2 linked regions of the Saccharomyces cerevisiae S288C genome follow. The protein of the gene in region 1 interacts with the protein of each later gene in a biochemical or structural test. Each region holds a gene or a part of one and is shown on either strand. Other genes may lie near its edges. The genes, in order: IRC6 and APL1.

The links.
Region 2: the proteins of IRC6 (region 1) and APL1 form a complex in vitro, tested with the Saccharomyces cerevisiae proteins (one study listed by BioGRID).

What each region holds. Positions count from the first base shown.
Region 1 is NC_001138.5:230,071-241,341, forward strand, and holds IRC6 (Irc6p), read right to left. Parts: upstream 9,758-11,271; coding exon 9,044-9,757; downstream 1-9,043. Other genes in the region: IRC5 (putative ATPase), read left to right, coding at 1-1,871; OSW7 (Osw7p), read right to left, coding at 1,942-3,474; SAP155 (Sap155p), read left to right, coding at 4,172-7,180; ERJ5 (Erj5p), read right to left, coding at 7,298-8,185; KEG1 (Keg1p), read left to right, coding at 8,388-8,990; DUG1 (metallodipeptidase), read right to left, coding at 9,922-11,271. UniProt on the Saccharomyces cerevisiae protein: Involved in gross chromosomal rearrangements (GCRs) and telomere healing.
Region 2 is NC_001142.9:444,418-453,161, forward strand, and holds APL1 (Apl1p), read left to right. Parts: upstream 1-1,505; coding exon 1,506-3,608; downstream 3,609-8,744. Other genes in the region: SAG1 (Sag1p), read right to left, coding at 1-444; LSO1 (Lso1p), read right to left, coding at 4,060-4,341; DNA-directed DNA polymerase delta subunit POL31, read left to right, coding at 4,785-6,248; SUI2 (translation initiation factor eIF2 subunit alpha), read left to right, coding at 6,603-7,517; MHO1 (Mho1p), read left to right, coding at 8,013-8,744. UniProt on the Saccharomyces cerevisiae protein: Adaptins are components of the adaptor complexes which link clathrin to receptors in coated vesicles. Clathrin-associated protein complexes are believed to interact with the cytoplasmic tails of membrane proteins, leading to their selection and concentration.

The sequences.
Region 1 (11,271 bases):
ACTGGCTGATCACTCTTTATGAAAATGGCCTGAACGGAATTCTTGCCGATGAAATGGGTCTTGGTAAGACTGTTCAAAGTATTGCTCTTTTGGCGTTCATATATGAAATGGACACAAAGGGTCCTTTTCTAGTGACTGCACCATTAAGCACCCTAGATAATTGGATGAACGAATTTGCAAAATTCGCTCCTGATCTACCAGTTCTAAAATATTATGGGACCAATGGTTATAAGGAACGTTCTGCCAAGTTGAAAAATTTCTTTAAACAACACGGCGGCACGGGGATCGTCATCACATCATATGAAATTATTTTAAGAGATACCGACTTAATCATGAGTCAAAATTGGAAATTTTTAATTGTTGATGAAGGCCACCGTCTGAAAAATATAAACTGTAGATTGATTAAAGAGTTAAAAAAAATCAATACTTCCAATAGACTGCTACTAACAGGGACGCCTTTACAAAATAACCTAGCTGAATTATGGTCACTTTTGAATTTCATAATGCCCGATATCTTTGCCGATTTCGAGATATTCAATAAATGGTTTGACTTCGACAGCTTAAATTTAGGCTCCGGTTCCAACTCTGAAGCATTGAATAAGTTAATCAACGATGAACTACAGAAAAATTTGATTTCCAATTTACACACAATTCTGAAACCATTCCTTTTGAGAAGATTGAAAAAAGTTGTTTTGGCTAATATTCTGCCGCCAAAGAGAGAATATATCATAAATTGTCCGATGACGTCTGCACAGGAAAAATTCTATAAGGCTGGATTGAATGGAAAGTTGAAAAAAACCATGTTCAAAGAATTAATCAAGGATTTTTTCACATTGAACGATGAATACATCGGCCACGTTTCTAATCGGTCCATACGAGATTTCATCAATTATAAACTATCTGGTAATGAAACTTCAAATACAGACAATAAAATCAATCCAACCTTGTTGCAAATGGACAAACTATATAAGAAGAACCTGCAAATGGAAATTTCAAATAAGAAATTGCAAAATATGATGATGCAATTGAGACAAATCATTGACTCAACTTTTTTGTTTTATTTCCCATATTTACACCCAGAAGACTTGACTTTGGAAACTCTTTTAAAGACGTCTGGGAAATTACAAATCTTACAAAAATTAATCCCCCCATTAATATCTGAGGGGCACAAAGTGCTTATTTATTCTCAGTTTGTTAACATGCTCGATTTGATCGAAGATTGGTGTGATTTAAATTCGTTCGCGACATTTCGAATTGATGGTTCAGTAAACAATGAAACAAGAAAGGATCAACTCGAGAAGTTTAATAGCTCGAAAGATAAGCATAACATTTTCCTATTGTCCACAAGGGCGGCAGGACTGGGTATTAATCTAGTCGGGGCAGATACAGTTGTCTTGTTTGATAGTGATTGGAATCCACAGGTGGATTTACAAGCCATGGACAGGTGTCACCGTATTGGCCAAGAATCACCGGTTATAGTATATAGGTTGTGTTGTGATAACACCATTGAACATGTTATATTGACCAGAGCGGCCAATAAGCGAAATTTGGAAAGAATGGTTATCCAGATGGGAAAATTCAATAACCTGAAAAAATTGGCGTTAAATGAAGGTTCTTTTTTGAAGGCAAACAAAGCGGGTGTTAATGTCACTAATAAGGACTTAGTCCAGGAGTTATCTATGCTTTTAATGAGCGATGAATCCAATATAGGCTTTGAAAATGGGGGACAGAAAGAAAATAAGGCTACTGAGGGCCAACTGACTGATAAGGAGGTTGAAGAATTGACCAACAGATCTCTTGAAGCGTACAAGGCCAACAGAGTCGTAGATCTGCCGCACGTCAAGCTATTTGAAACAACCTCCGGTCTTTAACTTGGTTATCATACAATATTGTTTTTATTAAATGTTTGTATATATGTACATATACATACCTATATATTGATCAATGTTCTTGCCGTACAAATTCTTCCTCTAGTTGTTCCTTTAGTTCACGGTTTTTGAATAAAGTATCCGCAGTATTCATTCGTTGCAGAAAGGTATCTTGAATATTATTTTTTGTGTTCTGGAAATCAGCTTTTAGTTTAGTAATCCATTCCAGTATCAAAGTCATATCCAGATCATGTTTTACCAGACGGTTCCTCTCAGAAATAACTTTCTTTTTCAATTCCATGAAACGGAGCCAGTTGGAATGATTCTCTTCTATATAGGCAGGATCGTATTGATCTTCCAAATGGAGACCTCTGACGTCCATATATGCCATTCTTTGCGACCATTGACTTATCATTACATCGCCCCACTCTTCGTACACTTCGACGTTTTCAAGACGAATCGATTCTGCCAGTTTAGCCATTTCGGTAAGAAAAGAATCTAATGAATGAAACAGTGATTTTTCAAAGTCTAACAAATGTATTTTATAATTCTTCAGTATCGATGTGATAGATGATTTGGTAATGTAAGCTTCCAGTTCAACTTGACCCGATTCATCAAAATACTTTATTTTATTTTGCACAGGATCGAATTTAGAGGTACAATTAATATCTTTGATTTTTGAATCTAGAAACACTAATTGCTCATTAACGGTAGTGTTAAGGTCATCAAGATTCCTAGTGATTTCTATAGATTTATTTTGCACCTCGGCCTCGAACACAGACTGTATCTCTGAATCCAAAAGTGCCATCGCACTGTGTATTTTCGAATCTATAGCCTTAATCCATGCTTCATATTCCATTTTTAATGATTCTGCCTCGTAAGTTTCCAATTCTGCATGGCTATTGGAACCAATGATAATCTTTGACAAATCCTGCAAAATAGCAGCAGTGACGAGTTGTGAGTTCCCGTGGCCATCCTGTACTCCATCGAACTCGTATTCTTTATTTTCATCCTCAATTCCGACATCATCCTCATCCTCATCTTCATCCTCATCCTCATTTTCATTCTCATCATCCTCATAATCCTCTGTTTCCGAGTCTGTCTCAAAAATGGGTTTGGTGAGCGTGCCATCAGCGCTAAAGGAGCCGTATTTCATCCAATCCGTAGAGGAGTTAAATGGATTCTCTAGTACATTCTTCACATTGTCTGTATATGGCTTTAAATAGTACCAGGCAATCCTTAGATGATTTAATAAAGGTCCCAACTTGGAATGTAGCGAACAGCAGAGCTCATTTAGCCTTAGAAAAGAGAAAATATTGTACCAAAAGCGGTAAAAATATCCCATAATTCTCTTCAAGGATGAGTTGGGGTATCTTTCAATCAGTGGTTTTATCGATTGTGAGTACTTTCCAACTAAATAGTCAGAAACCGCTGAACCTTCAACCAATTTAGAATCGAATAGTGAGCCAACTGAAAATTCAGTATGCCGGCAAATGGGCTGTAAATCTGTGGCAAAGCTTCCCAGACCATTTTGCTGACAGACCAGATACCTTGCAATAAACACGCAAGCCAGCAAAGCAGTCGTTACTTTGAAAACGGCCTTCATGATTTTTAGTAAAGAACTAACCACCTTTTTCTTAGTTAAGAAAAGGTCAATCAGTAACAGAAATATGATAGTAGCAACACCCAAAAAAATGCTATCTTCCAATAGTCAAAAAGGAAGCCTCGATGCCATACAAGTCTCTTCTAAAGTACTATTATGTAATTCCTGTTAAATGATACCTGTATTGTGGCTTAAAAGGGCCGAAATGACAACAAAATGAGTAGGGTTAATTTAATTTTTAAAGAGGGCATTTATCTAAAAAATGAAAGACAACTATAGGGCTGGTAATTATAGAATAGGTCTTAGTAGGGTTATCCCTTCCTCTAGAAAAAAAGAAAGAAAAATAATTTTAAGTGGCCAATTAGAACCAAAACCAACAGTATCGTGGTATCATACGCTCCAAAGCAACTAGAAGAAAGGCCTTATTTGACCATTGGATTCAGTATTTTTTCTCCAAGTAGCGGTTAAAAGACTGAGAGACTAAAGCTAGATAGTGGGTTTGAGTGACTATCCCCTTTTTTCCTCCTCTTTTTTTATTATTTTGATTTTATTTCATTTTGATTTTATTTCAACACGATTAAGACACAAGCGTTACTTCCCTAGACTATAGTCTCTGCCGTTCCCATTCTATTGATTTTTGGAGCAGCAGTTTTTACAAAAGAAAAGAAAAAAAAGACGAAAACAACAAGCCAGAGTAAAGATGTCGTTTTGGCCATTTGGACAGAATCTTAATCACTCTAATATTAATAAGATCCTAGATGAATATTTTCATGTGCTACACGAACTGGAAAGGATTAACCCAAGCGTTGGTAAAGCCATTCCCGCTATTTTCAACAACGTTCAGGAACGAGGTACAAGTGACTCCCTAGATTCTATTCCGGAGGAGTATAGTCATGGTGATGAAGTGAAAACGGCACGTGGAGATCAGAAGAGTCGATTTGAGAAGGATGATCAGCAAGAACGGTATGAGAAAGAGGAAGAGGAACGGAGCATGAACTCTAGCGAATCTTCCACTACATCTTTTTCTTCTGGGTCAACTTCTAAAACTGATTTAGATGAGGAGGATATCAGCAATGCTACTGCTCCCATGATGGTCACCACAAAGAATTTGGATAACTCTTTTATTGAAAGAATGCTTGTAGAGACAGAGCTACTGAACGAATTATCGAGACAAAACAAGACGCTACTTGACTTCATTTGCTTTGGATTTTTCTTTGATAAGAAAACTAATAAGAAAGTGAATAATATGGAATATCTGGTCGACCAACTGATGGAATGTATCTCGAAGATTAAAACCGCCACCACAGTGGATTTGAATAACCTGATAGATTATCAAGAACAGCAACAGCTTGATGATAGCTCACAAGAGGACGTTTATGTGGAATCTGATACGGAGCAAGAAGAGGAGAAAGAGGACGATAATAACAGCAATAACAAGAAGAGACGAAAACGCGGAAGCTCCTCGTTTGGTAACGATGATATCAACAACAATGACGACGACGACGATGCGAATGAGGACGATGAATCTGCTTATTTGACAAAGGCCACCATAATATCTGAAATCTTTTCCTTAGACATATGGTTGATTAGCGAGTCATTAGTTAAAAACCAATCATACTTAAACAAGATTTGGTCTATCATCAACCAGCCAAATTTCAATTCTGAAAACTCTCCCTTGGTACCCATATTCTTAAAGATTAACCAAAATCTGTTGTTAACCAGGCAGGATCAATATTTAAATTTTATTCGAACGGAGAGAAGCTTTGTTGATGATATGTTAAAGCATGTTGATATTTCCCTATTGATGGATTTTTTCTTGAAAATAATATCCACAGATAAGATTGAATCACCCACGGGAATAATTGAATTAGTATATGATCAAAACTTGATCAGCAAATGCTTAAGCTTTCTAAATAACAAAGAGTCCCCAGCTGACATCCAAGCATGCGTGGGTGATTTCTTAAAGGCTCTGATTGCCATTTCTGCTAATGCACCCTTGGATGATATTTCCATTGGTCCAAACTCCTTGACGAGACAGCTAGCATCTCCCGAATCCATTGCAAAGCTAGTCGATATCATGATCAACCAAAGAGGTGCCGCATTAAATACCACAGTTTCGATTGTCATTGAGCTGATAAGGAAAAACAATTCAGACTACGATCAAGTTAATCTTTTAACCACTACTATAAAGACTCATCCACCTTCAAATAGAGATCCAATATATTTAGGCTATCTACTTCGGAAATTTTCAAACCATTTGTCCGATTTTTTCCAAATCATTCTAGATATTGAAAATGACGCCAACATCCCATTACATGAAAATCAGTTGCACGAAAAATTTAAACCTTTAGGATTTGAAAGATTCAAAGTGGTGGAATTAATCGCCGAGTTACTGCATTGCTCTAATATGGGATTAATGAATTCCAAAAGGGCAGAAAGAATAGCCAGAAGAAGAGATAAAGTAAGGAGCCAGTTATCCCATCATTTACAAGATGCATTAAACGATCTGAGTATCGAAGAAAAGGAGCAACTTAAAACGAAGCACTCTCCAACACGTGACACTGATCACGACCTAAAAAATAACAACGGTAAAATAGATAACGACAATAATGATAATGATGATGAAAGTGACTATGGCGACGAAATAGACGAGAGCTTCGAAATTCCATACATCAATATGAAGCAAAACATAAAACTTAGGACCGACCCCACGGTCGGGGACCTATTCAAAATCAAACTATATGATACGCGAATTGTTTCCAAAATAATGGAACTATTCTTAACACATCCTTGGAACAATTTTTGGCATAATGTTATATTCGACATAATTCAGCAAATCTTCAATGGAAGAATGGATTTTTCCTATAATTCCTTCCTTGTTTTGTCTCTGTTTAACTTAAAGAGCTCCTATCAATTTATGACTGATATCGTCATATCAGATGAAAAAGGAACGGATGTTTCCCGATTTTCTCCCGTTATTAGAGACCCAAATTTTGATTTCAAAATAACTACAGACTTCATATTAAGGGGCTACCAGGATTCATATAAATTTTATGAGCTAAGGAAAATGAATTTGGGATATATGGGCCATATTGTCTTGATTGCCGAAGAAGTGGTCAAATTTTCTAAATTGTACAAAGTGGAACTAATATCTCCCGATATTCAAGTAATTTTACAAACCGAAGAATGGCAATACTACTCCGAAGAAGTCTTAAACGAAACAAGAATGATGTACTCTAAAATTCTTGGCGGTGGAAGTTATATTGATGATGGAAATGGTAACATCATTCCGCAGCTGCCTGACAATACTACTGTATTAACTCCAAATGGTGATGCAAGTAATAATAATGAAATCCTTGATTCAGATACCGGGAGTAGTAATGGAACAAGTGGTGGCGGCCAATTAATCAATGTTGAGTCTCTAGAAGAACAGTTGTCCTTATCTACAGAATCTGATTTACACAACAAGTTAAGGGAAATGTTAATCAATAGGGCTCAAGAAGACGTTGATAATAAGAACACGGAAAATGGGGTTTTCATACTGGGGCCGCCGGAGGACAAGAACAGTAATAGTAACATTAACAATACCAACCATAATAGTAATAATAGTAATAACAACGATAATAACGATAATAATGATAATGACAATGATAATACTCGTAATTATAATGAAGATGCTGATAATGATAATGATTATGATCATGAATGATACATTGTTTTGTACTTTTCTTTAATTTGTATATATATATATTAATTTATATGTATAAGTACCATGTAGTTTTCTATTCATTCATTCATTCATCATGATAATATTACTTCTTACGTATCATTTACGTGAATAGATCACTTTACCGTTAGGCAATTCCATTTTCTTTTGGCCTTTCTTTGCAGAACCCTTTTTTACTTTGTTCCCCTTTTTTGTTTGGTTACCATCATACTTTTTACTATCCGTTATTATTTCTTCTTTTCCTGCGCTACCAACAGATTTGCCAAACGTCATGTTCCAAACCGAAGCAGGTATTCTCCAAAACAAACAGTTCTTTACTGAAGGTTTATCCAAGGTATCTGGCGAAATTAGTGTTTCACTTCCATCAGGCTCTACAACATAGACATCGCTAAACCTTACAACCAAACTTTTACCCTCATCCTTTTCATGTTGTTTAAACGTTAGTTGTTTTACGCCTAGTCCATTGGTATCATCCTGTTGTTTACACTGACTGATGAAGTTTTCAATTCTTGATCTTTGAGAACGATATTGAATAATAGAAATGATATACTGCCCAATATTAACGACTATCCAAATAAAGGCCAGCAGGAACCAAGTCTTAGGCTTCATTCTGGAAAAATAAAAACCACCCTTATGGAAATCATAGTTTGGAAAGCCATTCTGTAGATAATAATCATAAATCTTACGATTAGAGCTGTTTGAAAGAATTTGAGTAGCGAGGTTTAACCTTTCATACAATTTACGGTATTTAGGGTTCTTATCCGGATGGTACTTCTTGGATAGCTTTCTTAAGTTTTTTGTAATCTCCTTTGTACTAGAATTCTGCAGTTTAGGTAACTTCAAGAACTTGTAGAAGTTCATATCTGGGCCATATTTCGTACTTATTTCATTTTGTAATTGGAAAATTTCTGTTTCAATGGTGGTAAAAGCATATGATAGAGATACCAATCCCAGGACAACCAACGCAGGTTTCCAGTAACCGTTCATTCTTTTAGTGATCTTGTAACCTTGATTTTTTGTTCGTTTTCTATTCTTTTGGTACGTGTTATTTTGAAAATCTCATTTTTTTCGTGATTATTAATTTTGAATATGGAAATTAAATATGATTTACCTTCAAATTGGGAAATAATGTAAATACAACGTCAATAAAAGTATTTGTTCGGTCACATATATTTAACTAGCATTGAGGATGGCAGGTATCAAGTTGACGCATAAGCTTTATCAGTATTATCAATTAGCCACAAGCTTTTTGTATGCTGCATTATTGATACGGTGGCTGATATTAATGCCACTGGTAGGGTCTCGGTTTTTACCGGGAGGAATCCACGAATTCTTGATATATTTGATGTTTTATTCCAGCATCATGGAAGTTATTTGGTTGCTTAGATTCCACGGGTTCAAATATGGTTTGCTTTCAAGAACGTTTTTGAAAGACCTAAATTTTATCTATTTAGTCAGCGTGATCCATTTTTATGACGATTATGAGCATGCATTGATCCTCAAGAATGCATCATATTCTAGTTTCATTATTTCCTTATCTTTATCACAGGCATATTGCCATTGGTGCAAACTTTTTAAACGTAAGGGCGTAAAGGAAAGAACACTTGTATGGAAGGTTAACACATTTGTTACATTGCCAATTCTCTACCTGAGTGAATTTGCATTGCTACTATTAAATATCCAGGTTAAGAACTATCATTCTACCCCGACTTTGGACATAATCAACAGGGTGGTTTTACTAGCATACTTCCCTGTACTACTAACAGCATACAAAAAACTATTAACAAAATGAGCAATCTTATTGGTTTAATACATATGTATACACATATACATATCTGTACATACTCATAAATATCTGGATAGTTCGTCAGCCATTTCATTTGCAAAAGCATCAGCTTCACTACTATTCTCGATAGACTTATATTTTAGCCTTGCACTTTGCAAATTCCTAATTATTTGTTCGAGGGGCATTTCATTAGGAATTTCCTCCCTTATTTTAGTAGCCGGTTGAACTTCACAATTTAACCAGTCGTGGGTATCTATAATCTCCTGGATCCTATCAAGCCCCAATTTTTCTCCATAGTCGTTATGATTAACAGTTGGTTTTGACCTTTTCCAGTTTACGAATTCGATGACGTTTGTAAAGGCATTGCTCCATATCTCATTCAGTTCATCAATTTCATCTTGCTCGACTTCTTCGTTCACATTGGCCAACACAACAAAAGTATTTCGATGGGCAGCTATCATGAATTGGTGCAGCAGTTCTTGAGGTTTTGTTTGCCGGATGTCCGTTATTAAGATAATTCCTGCCATGACATTTCTAAGCGGTTCACATTCAGGCGTTATAAATTCTTCCACCCATACTGGTATCTCTTTGCAAGAGTCAATATAAAGATCAAAATGGACTTTATAGTATCTATTTTCCCAAGTTTGGTCCTTAACTATACTGATGCCCGTGCTAGAGCAATGAAACAGGTCTTGCAAAAATTGTGTTTTTAAAAAGTTGTGTGGGTGATCTGATAAAACCAATATTTTATTCTGGGGGTATTGAAGAACCATGGTAGATTGGTATTTTTGCGTATATATACTTGCTATCTTGCTGCATCAGATTTTCTCTATAAAGAGTTTTCTGTTTTTCCTCTCTTTTCAGAATTCGAATAGGAATGAGTAAACTTGAATGACATGGAATTTACACATATATACACATATATAAATAAGATGACTTAGTTTTCTGGCGATTCAGAGTAATATTGCAAGTAAGCAGCCATCGTCTTCATACCACCAACAAAATTTGAAATATCTAACTTTTCATTGATTGAATGAGCACCATCATCGCCTCTACCCATTGGCAGCAATAAGACACTAGTGTTCAAGGCATCTTGGAAAGTCAAAGTGATAGGAATGGAACCACCTTCCCTGGTAAAATCAGGATCGACACCATAGACCAGTTTTGTGGCCTTTTTAGCAGCAGTAAATTGGGCGTTGAATGGATCAGAAACCCAATAAGCACCATCATGGATCAATTCTGTTCTGCACTTGTTTGGAGAGTTCAAGGACTTGAATTTGGCATCACAATGCTTCTGGACCAAAGAGGTCAGTTTCTCAGAATCCATGTCGGGGACGGTTCTAATGGAAAACTTACCGAAGACCTTAGCTGGAATGACAGTCTTTGCACCTTGAGCGGAAAAGGCGCCTTCCACACCATGAATGGACAACGAAGGATACCTCCATCTGTGCATCAAGATGTCTTCCTTCTTGTCGTACAAACTTGTCTTAGAGCCAGTTGCAGCGTTCAATTCTTCGACGCTAAATTCGATATCCTTGTATAGAGCCTTCTCCTTTTCGGTTAGAGGAGCAACCATTTCGTCAATACCGTCAATCAGGATCTTACCCTTAGAATCCACAAGGGAACCGAGAACTTGCATTAAATCGATCATTGGTTCAGCAACAACACCACCAAAGATACCAGAGTGTAAATCTGCACTTGGACCCTCAATGATGGTTTGATAGTAGTTGCAACCTCTTAGACCATAAGTCAAAACAGGCTTCTTAGTGCCTAGCCAGTAATTATCGGAAATACAAACGGCATCTACACCTTTAAAGTAACCATTAGCTTCCTTTTTAATCAATTCATCCAATTTCAAAGAACCACTTTCCTCCATTCCTTCGAAACAAGTAACTAAGTTAACGGGGAATTCTTGTCCGGAGGCTTTGAAGGCGTCCACAACGTTAATCCAAGATAATAAGGGACCAGTGTCATCGGTGACACCCCTTCCTTTCATGATACCTTTAGCCTCATCAATGACAAGCTTGAATGGCTCAGTATCCCAACCATCTTCCAATTGAGCAGGTTGCACATCATAGTGACCGTAAACCAACACAGTCTTTTTTGAAGGGTCGCTGCCGAACCTAGACAGAATCACAGGAGGTAGAGACAGATTTGGCGTAGAAATTGGTGGAGGTTGAATGCCCAGATCCACCATTTTAATGTCATGGAACCCCGATTGTGATAATTGCTCGGAGATAAACTTGGCCTTATCGAAGACTTTGGACCTTAGTGATTCATCCGAAGA
Region 2 (8,744 bases), on another chromosome or scaffold:
TTCTAACTCATATTCATAGCTGGAACCACCATCACTAAAATTTAGCGAAAATGTTATGGATCCATCAATCGTATTATAGGAGGACAGGTCATTTTGAGCAGTACATGTGAAAGTAGTATTTTCATACAAGTATGCAGCCTGTTGCGAAACATAGCATTTGAAAGCCTCAGTACCATCCGCTAAGGAAATAGTAGCTGTTTGCGATGAGTTTAATAGCTTAATCCTATAAACATGTGGCATTGATAATGTGAATTCATCGCCCTCCCTAATGGAAGACGCATCTGCAATACTAAAATCAAAAGTGGCAGTCCAACCTTGATCAGGTTGTTTATTTGCAGTCAGTGGAGTAATTTCTAAATTGGAAAATGTGATATCGTTGATATTTATAGCAGAGGCCAATGCCAAGGAAAAAAGCCACAGAATAATTTTGAGAAAAGTGAACATTTTGAAAACTGGCGAATTGTTGTTCCTTTTGTGCTGACTATATTAAGCGAGGCGACTGATATAAGGAAGATATGAGAATGGACGATTACTAGAATAAATAGAGGGCATTTCGCATATTTATAGTATGCTAAAAGGAATCTTTTTTTGATTCACATGGCTTTTTTTTTAGAAGATTGCATTTCGTTACATGATCAAACAATTCCATTGTAACGTTTTTGGGAATATTTAAGCGCCGTTACTGAAGAATGAAGTGACATAAAGCTGCCATTGTATGGTAAAACACCAAAGGCGAGTACCCTTAGCATTTCCTTATCGAGCTGGAGCGGCTTCTACCTTCCTAATTAGGTCATCAATGACCTGCAAAACAAAGCGAAATGGACAAAGGACCTACACTTGCCTCGTGGCGGGAAACTGCATGTAGTTGTTCAATGTTTCACCACTCAGTGTTGAAACTGTTTACTCCATTGAATTGAGGTGACGATGGATAAACTTTCTTTATTTTTTATATTTTTTTATAATTTAATTAACCTAAATTGAGCCTAACAGAGGAATTTGAAACAACACAATAGAAAACATGAGTTTCAAAAGCTAAATATGGTATTACTATTCATAGTGGTCTTGGTAATGAATAATGCATATGTATACTCTTCTTAACGCCTTATCTTATGTAACCATACACTTTTTTAGTAAGGTTTCAATTAAGCTACTATTCTCAATTAAATACTGCTCTGAGCTAGATAAGGCCTATTGAAGTTGGAGGATTAGATGGATAGAAATAAGGAACTAAATCGTCAAGTTCGAAAGCCTATTCCCATTCATGCATATCACTTACCTTTCCTTAATCATGATCTCTTTAGTGCCATCAGAACTATTTTCTTAACATCGCGATTCTGTCTTCCGGGTATCGCTCCAAAAATGTGCGAGGAAATAGGAGATCGTTCAAATCATCAACTTTTAGTATTGGGTATCAAAGTATCGCAGCCTGGAAACAGAATTAATCTACTGCACAAGAAGGGAATACAGCAAGAACATTCACTTCATTAATAGGACGTATTTCGCTTATGTCCGATCAAAAAGTTTTTGCCAGATATAAAGCAAATGAAATCGTCACAGATCTGCAACATTTTGGAGTAAAAAAGTTTAAATCGAATATAACAAGAAGGAAAAATGCTCTGAGAAAAATTATCGCCAATTTGGTTCTAGGAAACTATGGCGAAATGTCCGTTCTGTTTTCTGAGCTCTTGAAATTTTGGCAAATTGAAGATGATCTAGAAGTGAAAAGAATTTGCCATGAGTATATTAGGGTGATCGGCGCATTAAAACCTCAGCAGGCCAGAGAGGCTTTGCCATTTATAATGGACGATTTCAAAAGCAGAGATGAAAAGTTACAAATAATGGCACTAAGAACTCTGGTATTAGTCCCGGTGAAAGAGCTATCTGATCAGGCCTTCGACTGTATCATTTCATTGGTAAATCACAAGTCTCCACCTGAACAAGTGACGAGGACAGCAATTTACGCACTGTTGGATTTAGATGAAATTGATCATGAAAGGGTATTGGGGTTATCAAGCATTCTACATGACATTGTAAAAGCACAGTCGAGCTCTCCAGAAGTCATTGTAGCTGCATTACATACTTTATATTCCATTCACGAAAAAAACGCTAACATGGAACCCTTCAGGATTCCCTTGGAACTCGCTTTTGACATGCTAGAGCTTTTACCCGAATTAAATGAGTGGAATAAGGCTACTGTTTTGGAAGTTTTGACGACTTCGGTTGTGCCGCAGCATTATTTGGATACCCATGAAATGATCGAACTAGCTTTACCGTACCTGCAACAAGTAAACACATACGTAGTGTTGAACTCTTTAAAATTCATCATGTACTTGTTGAATTATGTTGACGTCATCAAAGAAACTCTAGCCGAAAAGCTATCTAACTCTGTAATAGCTTTGTTAGATAAGCCGCCTGAATTACAATTTTTAGTATTAAGAAACGTTATTCTTCTTTTATTGAGTAGGGAGTCATCTCTACTCAGGCTAGACATTTCGTATTTTTTCATCGAGTACAATGACCCCATATACATCAAAGACACGAAATTAGAGTGTTTATATCTTTTAGCTAACAAGGAAACATTACCAAGAATTCTAGAAGAGTTGGAACAATATGCTACAGATATTGATATTCAAATGTCAAGGAAATCAGTCAGAGCCATTGGTAATCTGGCTGTTAAGCTAGATGAAGACTCTGTACACGATTGTGTCGCTGTTCTACTAGATTTGTTAGAATTCGGTGTTGATTATGTCGTCCAGGAGATTATTTCGGTTTTCAGAAATATTTTGAGGAAATATCCCAATAATTTTAAAGCAAACGTAACAGAACTAGTCAAACACACTGAAGTTGTACAGGAACCTGAATCAAAAAACGCTATGATCTGGATAATAACGCAATATTCGGATGTAATTCCAAACTACCTGGAGTTATTTAGAGTTTTTTCCTCAAACATGTTTAGTGAGACGCTAGAAGTGCAATTTTCCATTCTGAACTCAGCAATAAAATTCTTCATCAGAAGTCCTACAAAGGAAACTGAAGAACTTTGTATGGATTTATTAAAAGGATGCATCGATCACGAAAATAATCCTGACTTAAGAGATAAAACACTGATGTATTGGAGATTGCTGTCATTAACGAAAACGTCTCGTATATCAAACGCGATAACTTTTGAATCTTTAAAATCAGTACTGGACGGAGAGTTGCCACTAATAGAAATGAACACGAAATTAGATCCCACCGTTTTGGAGGAATTGGAGCTAAACATTGGTACAATAGTATCGATTTACTTAAAACCTGTTTCTCATATCTTTAGATTGAATAAAACCAAACTGCTACCACAAAGTCCTATTTTGAATCCAAACAAAGACCTCTTGCCAGTTGTAGGTAACTCATTTCCTCCAACTGGAGCTAATAGGGACCGTCAAAATTCAGAAAGCCAGTCCTCGACGAAGTCCAGAAAGACTGCTATGATGGATGATTATGATAAGCCCGCTGAAAAAATTAATCAGTTGAAAGGTAAGCGTAAATCTAGTTCAAACAACCCCTCAAAACTATCACGGAAACCCTCAACTTTATTAAGAAAACTCTCTATGAAACGGCCCTTTTCGTGACTGCAAATGATACTAATTCCTGTATTTAAATATACTCATATTTAACGAACAATTATGATGAATGAAAAAACCTGATATAATAGACTTAACTAAGCGATCATAAAAAAATTCAAAAAGTTATTTTATAAAACAATTCAGATGTTAAACTAAAGAGTTAATGTAATATATATACAATGAACTGCGTCATAAATTCCCATAGTTCAGCTCATGGGACATTATCTACTTATAAAGACGTGGCTTGGCAGCATTTCATATATAAGGCTACTGAATGTAAATTTTTCTTCCATTGTCTTTCCCGTGTCCCGAGAACTCAATTCAAGCACTGTTCTTGGGCGTAATAAACCTTCCGGTACTACTAAAATCAGACAAAGGCAGGAAGCCTCGATTTGACCTTTTAACGGGTAAAGCTCTAAAAGTTGCTCTCTGCTCCATATTCTCGTTTTCCGTCATTTCAGTATCTTTTTCCCCTGCCTCCCTTACCTAAAGCTTCCTCTTCGGCGGCTAGTAATTGGTCTCTTTCCTTTTTGGCTCTTAGCTTCTCTGTCTTTTTTTGTTCCATAATCAGCTTCTTCTGGTTAGGGGTTCTCGCACCTTCTTCCCACCTCTGAGCTTCTTGAGCTTCTAGTTGTTGTTTCTCTAGTTGGTCCTTTTCGTAAGCTTGCCTACGTTTTCTTGCTCTTCCTGCTGCCACTTTTTTGGCAGTTTCTGAGTATCTCTTGCCAGTATTATGCATGTTCGCTTCTTCACTATGTTTGGTGGTTTCTAATGACAACTATGCGGTTAGCAAACTTCCAAAAGGCGGTTAATAATACGACTACACATTATCCTATATATATATATATATGTACGCAAGTGCTTAGATTGGAAAAAAGGGTGCAACATTCTCGATTGTTCTATTTCAGCCTGTTGATATCAATCTGTCGTTCAATGCTTTGTGGGTGTGCTTTACCCACTCTTATACAGTAGTTAAGTGGCAAAAAGGGTGTCAAAGGGAAAGGAAAACCAGAGGAAAAGCAAAATAGCCGCCAATACTAACTCTAGATTTATATCATGTTATACGATTAATCAGACGCGTCTGATTAATTTCAAAAGTTAAAATATAAACTATTTTTGAAATCCCATTGCAATAAGCGAACTATAGCTGAATCTTTCCTGCAAAAATGGAAGTGAAGGGCAATGGACGCATTGTTAACAAAGTTCAACGAGGATAGAAGTCTCCAAGATGAAAACTTGTCCCAACCACGAACGAGAGTAAGAATTGTTGACGACAATCTTTACAACAAATCGAATCCATTCCAACTATGCTATAAAAAACGTGACTACGGTTCTCAGTACTACCACATTTATCAATACCGTCTAAAGACTTTCAGAGAACGCGTCTTAAAAGAATGTGACAAGAGATGGGATGCGGGCTTTACCTTGAATGGCCAATTAGTTCTAAAAAAGGACAAAGTGTTAGATATTCAGGGAAACCAACCATGTTGGTGCGTAGGATCCATATATTGCGAGATGAAATATAAACCAAACGTACTGGACGAAGTGATCAATGATACATATGGTGCACCAGATTTAACTAAAAGTTATACTGATAAAGAGGGTGGTTCTGATGAAATTATGCTCGAAGATGAAAGTGGGAGAGTGCTTCTAGTGGGAGATTTTATTCGGTCTACACCCTTCATCACGGGTGTTGTTGTAGGTATACTGGGTATGGAAGCTGAAGCCGGGACATTTCAAGTTTTAGACATATGCTACCCCACTCCTTTACCACAAAATCCTTTCCCTGCACCAATTGCTACCTGCCCCACCAGGGGAAAAATTGCTCTTGTTTCTGGGTTAAACCTCAATAATACATCACCTGATAGGCTATTGAGATTGGAGATTTTGAGAGAATTTTTGATGGGGAGAATCAATAACAAAATTGACGACATTTCTCTAATTGGTAGATTACTGATATGCGGCAACTCTGTTGACTTCGACATTAAAAGCGTGAACAAAGACGAATTGATGATTTCTCTAACTGAGTTCAGTAAATTTCTACACAACATTTTGCCATCTATATCTGTTGATATTATGCCCGGAACCAATGATCCAAGTGACAAATCTCTACCGCAACAGCCTTTCCACAAATCATTGTTTGATAAGTCCCTAGAATCATACTTCAACGGTTCTAACAAAGAAATTTTGAATTTAGTGACCAACCCATATGAGTTTAGCTATAATGGCGTAGACGTTCTAGCCGTTTCAGGCAAAAATATCAATGATATTTGTAAATACGTAATACCATCAAATGATAACGGAGAAAGTGAAAACAAGGTCGAGGAGGGCGAGAGTAATGATTTCAAAGACGATATAGAGCATCGCCTGGACCTTATGGAATGTACAATGAAATGGCAAAACATCGCGCCCACCGCACCTGATACCTTATGGTGTTATCCGTACACTGATAAGGATCCATTTGTATTGGATAAGTGGCCCCACGTTTACATTGTGGCAAACCAGCCATATTTTGGAACAAGAGTAGTGGAAATAGGTGGTAAGAACATAAAGATAATATCTGTCCCTGAATTCAGTTCTACTGGGATGATAATATTACTGGATTTGGAAACGTTAGAAGCAGAGACGGTCAAGATTGACATTTAAATAAAACAAGGAATAATTTCCACATAGATATGCAATTAAGTTTTATATGTAAAAGTGAGCATTCATCGTTCAGCTCAAAATACGTTTCTTGTCACAGCTGGTAGAAAAACTATGAGCGTTTTTTCTTACCCGCAGTCGGAGAAAAATTTTTTCTTCGAAGAGGCGAAAAAGAGAAGAAGAGAAAGCACAAATCTGATGAAATAGTAGTATAAAATCGCATTTACAAATTTTCAACCATTGTTTATTTCCTAGGTCATTAAAGAGTAAAGTGCAATCTGTTTACTAATCAGTTTTTGTCTTCATATTTTTGTGTCTTTTCTGCTGCCTCACGCACCTTCTATAATACACCAAATAATGTCCACTTCTCATTGCAGATTTTATGAAAACAAATACCCAGAAATTGACGATATCGTCATGGTTAACGTCCAGCAGATTGCTGAAATGGGTGCTTATGTTAAATTGTTAGAATATGACAACATTGAAGGTATGATTCTACTAAGTGAATTGTCCCGTAGACGTATTAGGTCAATCCAAAAATTAATTCGTGTTGGTAAAAATGATGTCGCCGTTGTTCTTCGTGTCGACAAAGAAAAAGGTTATATTGATTTGTCCAAACGTCGTGTTTCTTCTGAAGATATCATTAAATGTGAAGAAAAATACCAAAAATCTAAGACTGTTCATTCCATTTTAAGATACTGTGCCGAAAAATTCCAAATCCCTTTGGAAGAACTATATAAGACCATTGCTTGGCCATTAAGTCGAAAATTTGGTCACGCTTACGAAGCTTTCAAACTATCCATCATTGACGAAACTGTTTGGGAAGGTATTGAACCGCCATCAAAAGATGTTTTAGATGAATTAAAGAACTATATCTCCAAGAGATTAACACCACAAGCTGTAAAGATTAGAGCCGATGTTGAAGTGTCTTGTTTTAGTTACGAAGGTATCGATGCCATTAAAGACGCATTAAAATCAGCTGAAGACATGTCCACAGAACAAATGCAAGTTAAAGTTAAATTAGTCGCCGCCCCATTATATGTTTTGACCACCCAAGCCTTGGATAAGCAAAAAGGTATTGAACAACTGGAAAGCGCTATTGAAAAAATTACAGAGGTTATTACAAAATACGGCGGTGTTTGCAACATTACCATGCCACCAAAGGCTGTCACTGCTACTGAAGACGCTGAGTTACAAGCTCTATTAGAAAGCAAAGAATTAGATAATAGATCTGACTCTGAAGACGATGAGGATGAGTCAGACGACGAGTAATCATTGCCGCGCCTAATTTTTCTAGGTGTTTTCAAGTGTCATACTGTTTTAGAAAATTTTGTATAGAACAAATACGTATATCCTGCCATATCATATTCTTTGCAATATACACCTTGTACATTTGGCTATTATAAATATTACAATCCATTTAATCATAATCAAAATTTAATTTCTGTTACCACGGGGTTGTCAGTGGAGCATGCCCTGCCGGTTCTCTATAATTTATCTTTTTCACATGAGATATTTTTACCTCAAAAGGTAGTGATGCTGTAATAATATGAGGCTCCCCCCTTTCCTTCGGAATTGCATTTAAATCATTGGGGAACACTAAGACAAGACAAAGGGGCCGTCCACTCATGTGATTTTCAACAAAACAGATAACATGCGGATACACACTGATATATTTTCAAAGGAAAGTCTGACTGATACTTAAGTGAAGTGGTCCTAGTCGGTGGCTTAGGTGGACTACAGTGCAAAGAATAGAATTTTTCAAACATGTCAATACGTCCAGCAACACATGCAGGCTCATGGTATTCCAATAGAGCCCAAGAATTATCTCAACAACTGCATACATACTTGATCAAAAGTACCCTTAAAGGCCCAATTCACAACGCCAGAATTATCATATGTCCTCATGCCGGTTACAGGTATTGTGGACCCACTATGGCCTACTCGTACGCATCGTTGGATTTGAACCGTAATGTTAAGAGAATATTTATCTTGGGGCCGTCGCATCACATCTATTTCAAAAACCAAATATTAGTTAGTGCATTCAGTGAGCTAGAGACGCCCTTGGGTAATCTGAAAGTGGATACAGACTTGTGTAAAACATTAATACAGAAGGAGTATCCTGAGAACGGAAAGAAGCTGTTTAAGCCAATGGATCATGACACTGATATGGCTGAACATTCCTTAGAGATGCAGCTCCCCATGTTGGTGGAAACTTTGAAATGGAGAGAAATTTCTTTAGATACGGTGAAGGTATTTCCTATGATGGTTTCTCATAACAGCGTTGATGTTGATCGTTGCATTGGTAATATCTTGTCGGAGTACATTAAGGATCCGAACAATTTATTCATTGTAAGCAGTGATTTCTGTCATTGGGGCCGCAGATTCCAATATACTGGGTACGTCGGAAGCAAGGAAGAGTTGAATGATGCCATTCAAGAGGAAACAGAAGTGGAAATGTTAACTGCTAGGAGTAAACTTTCACATCATCAAGTTCCC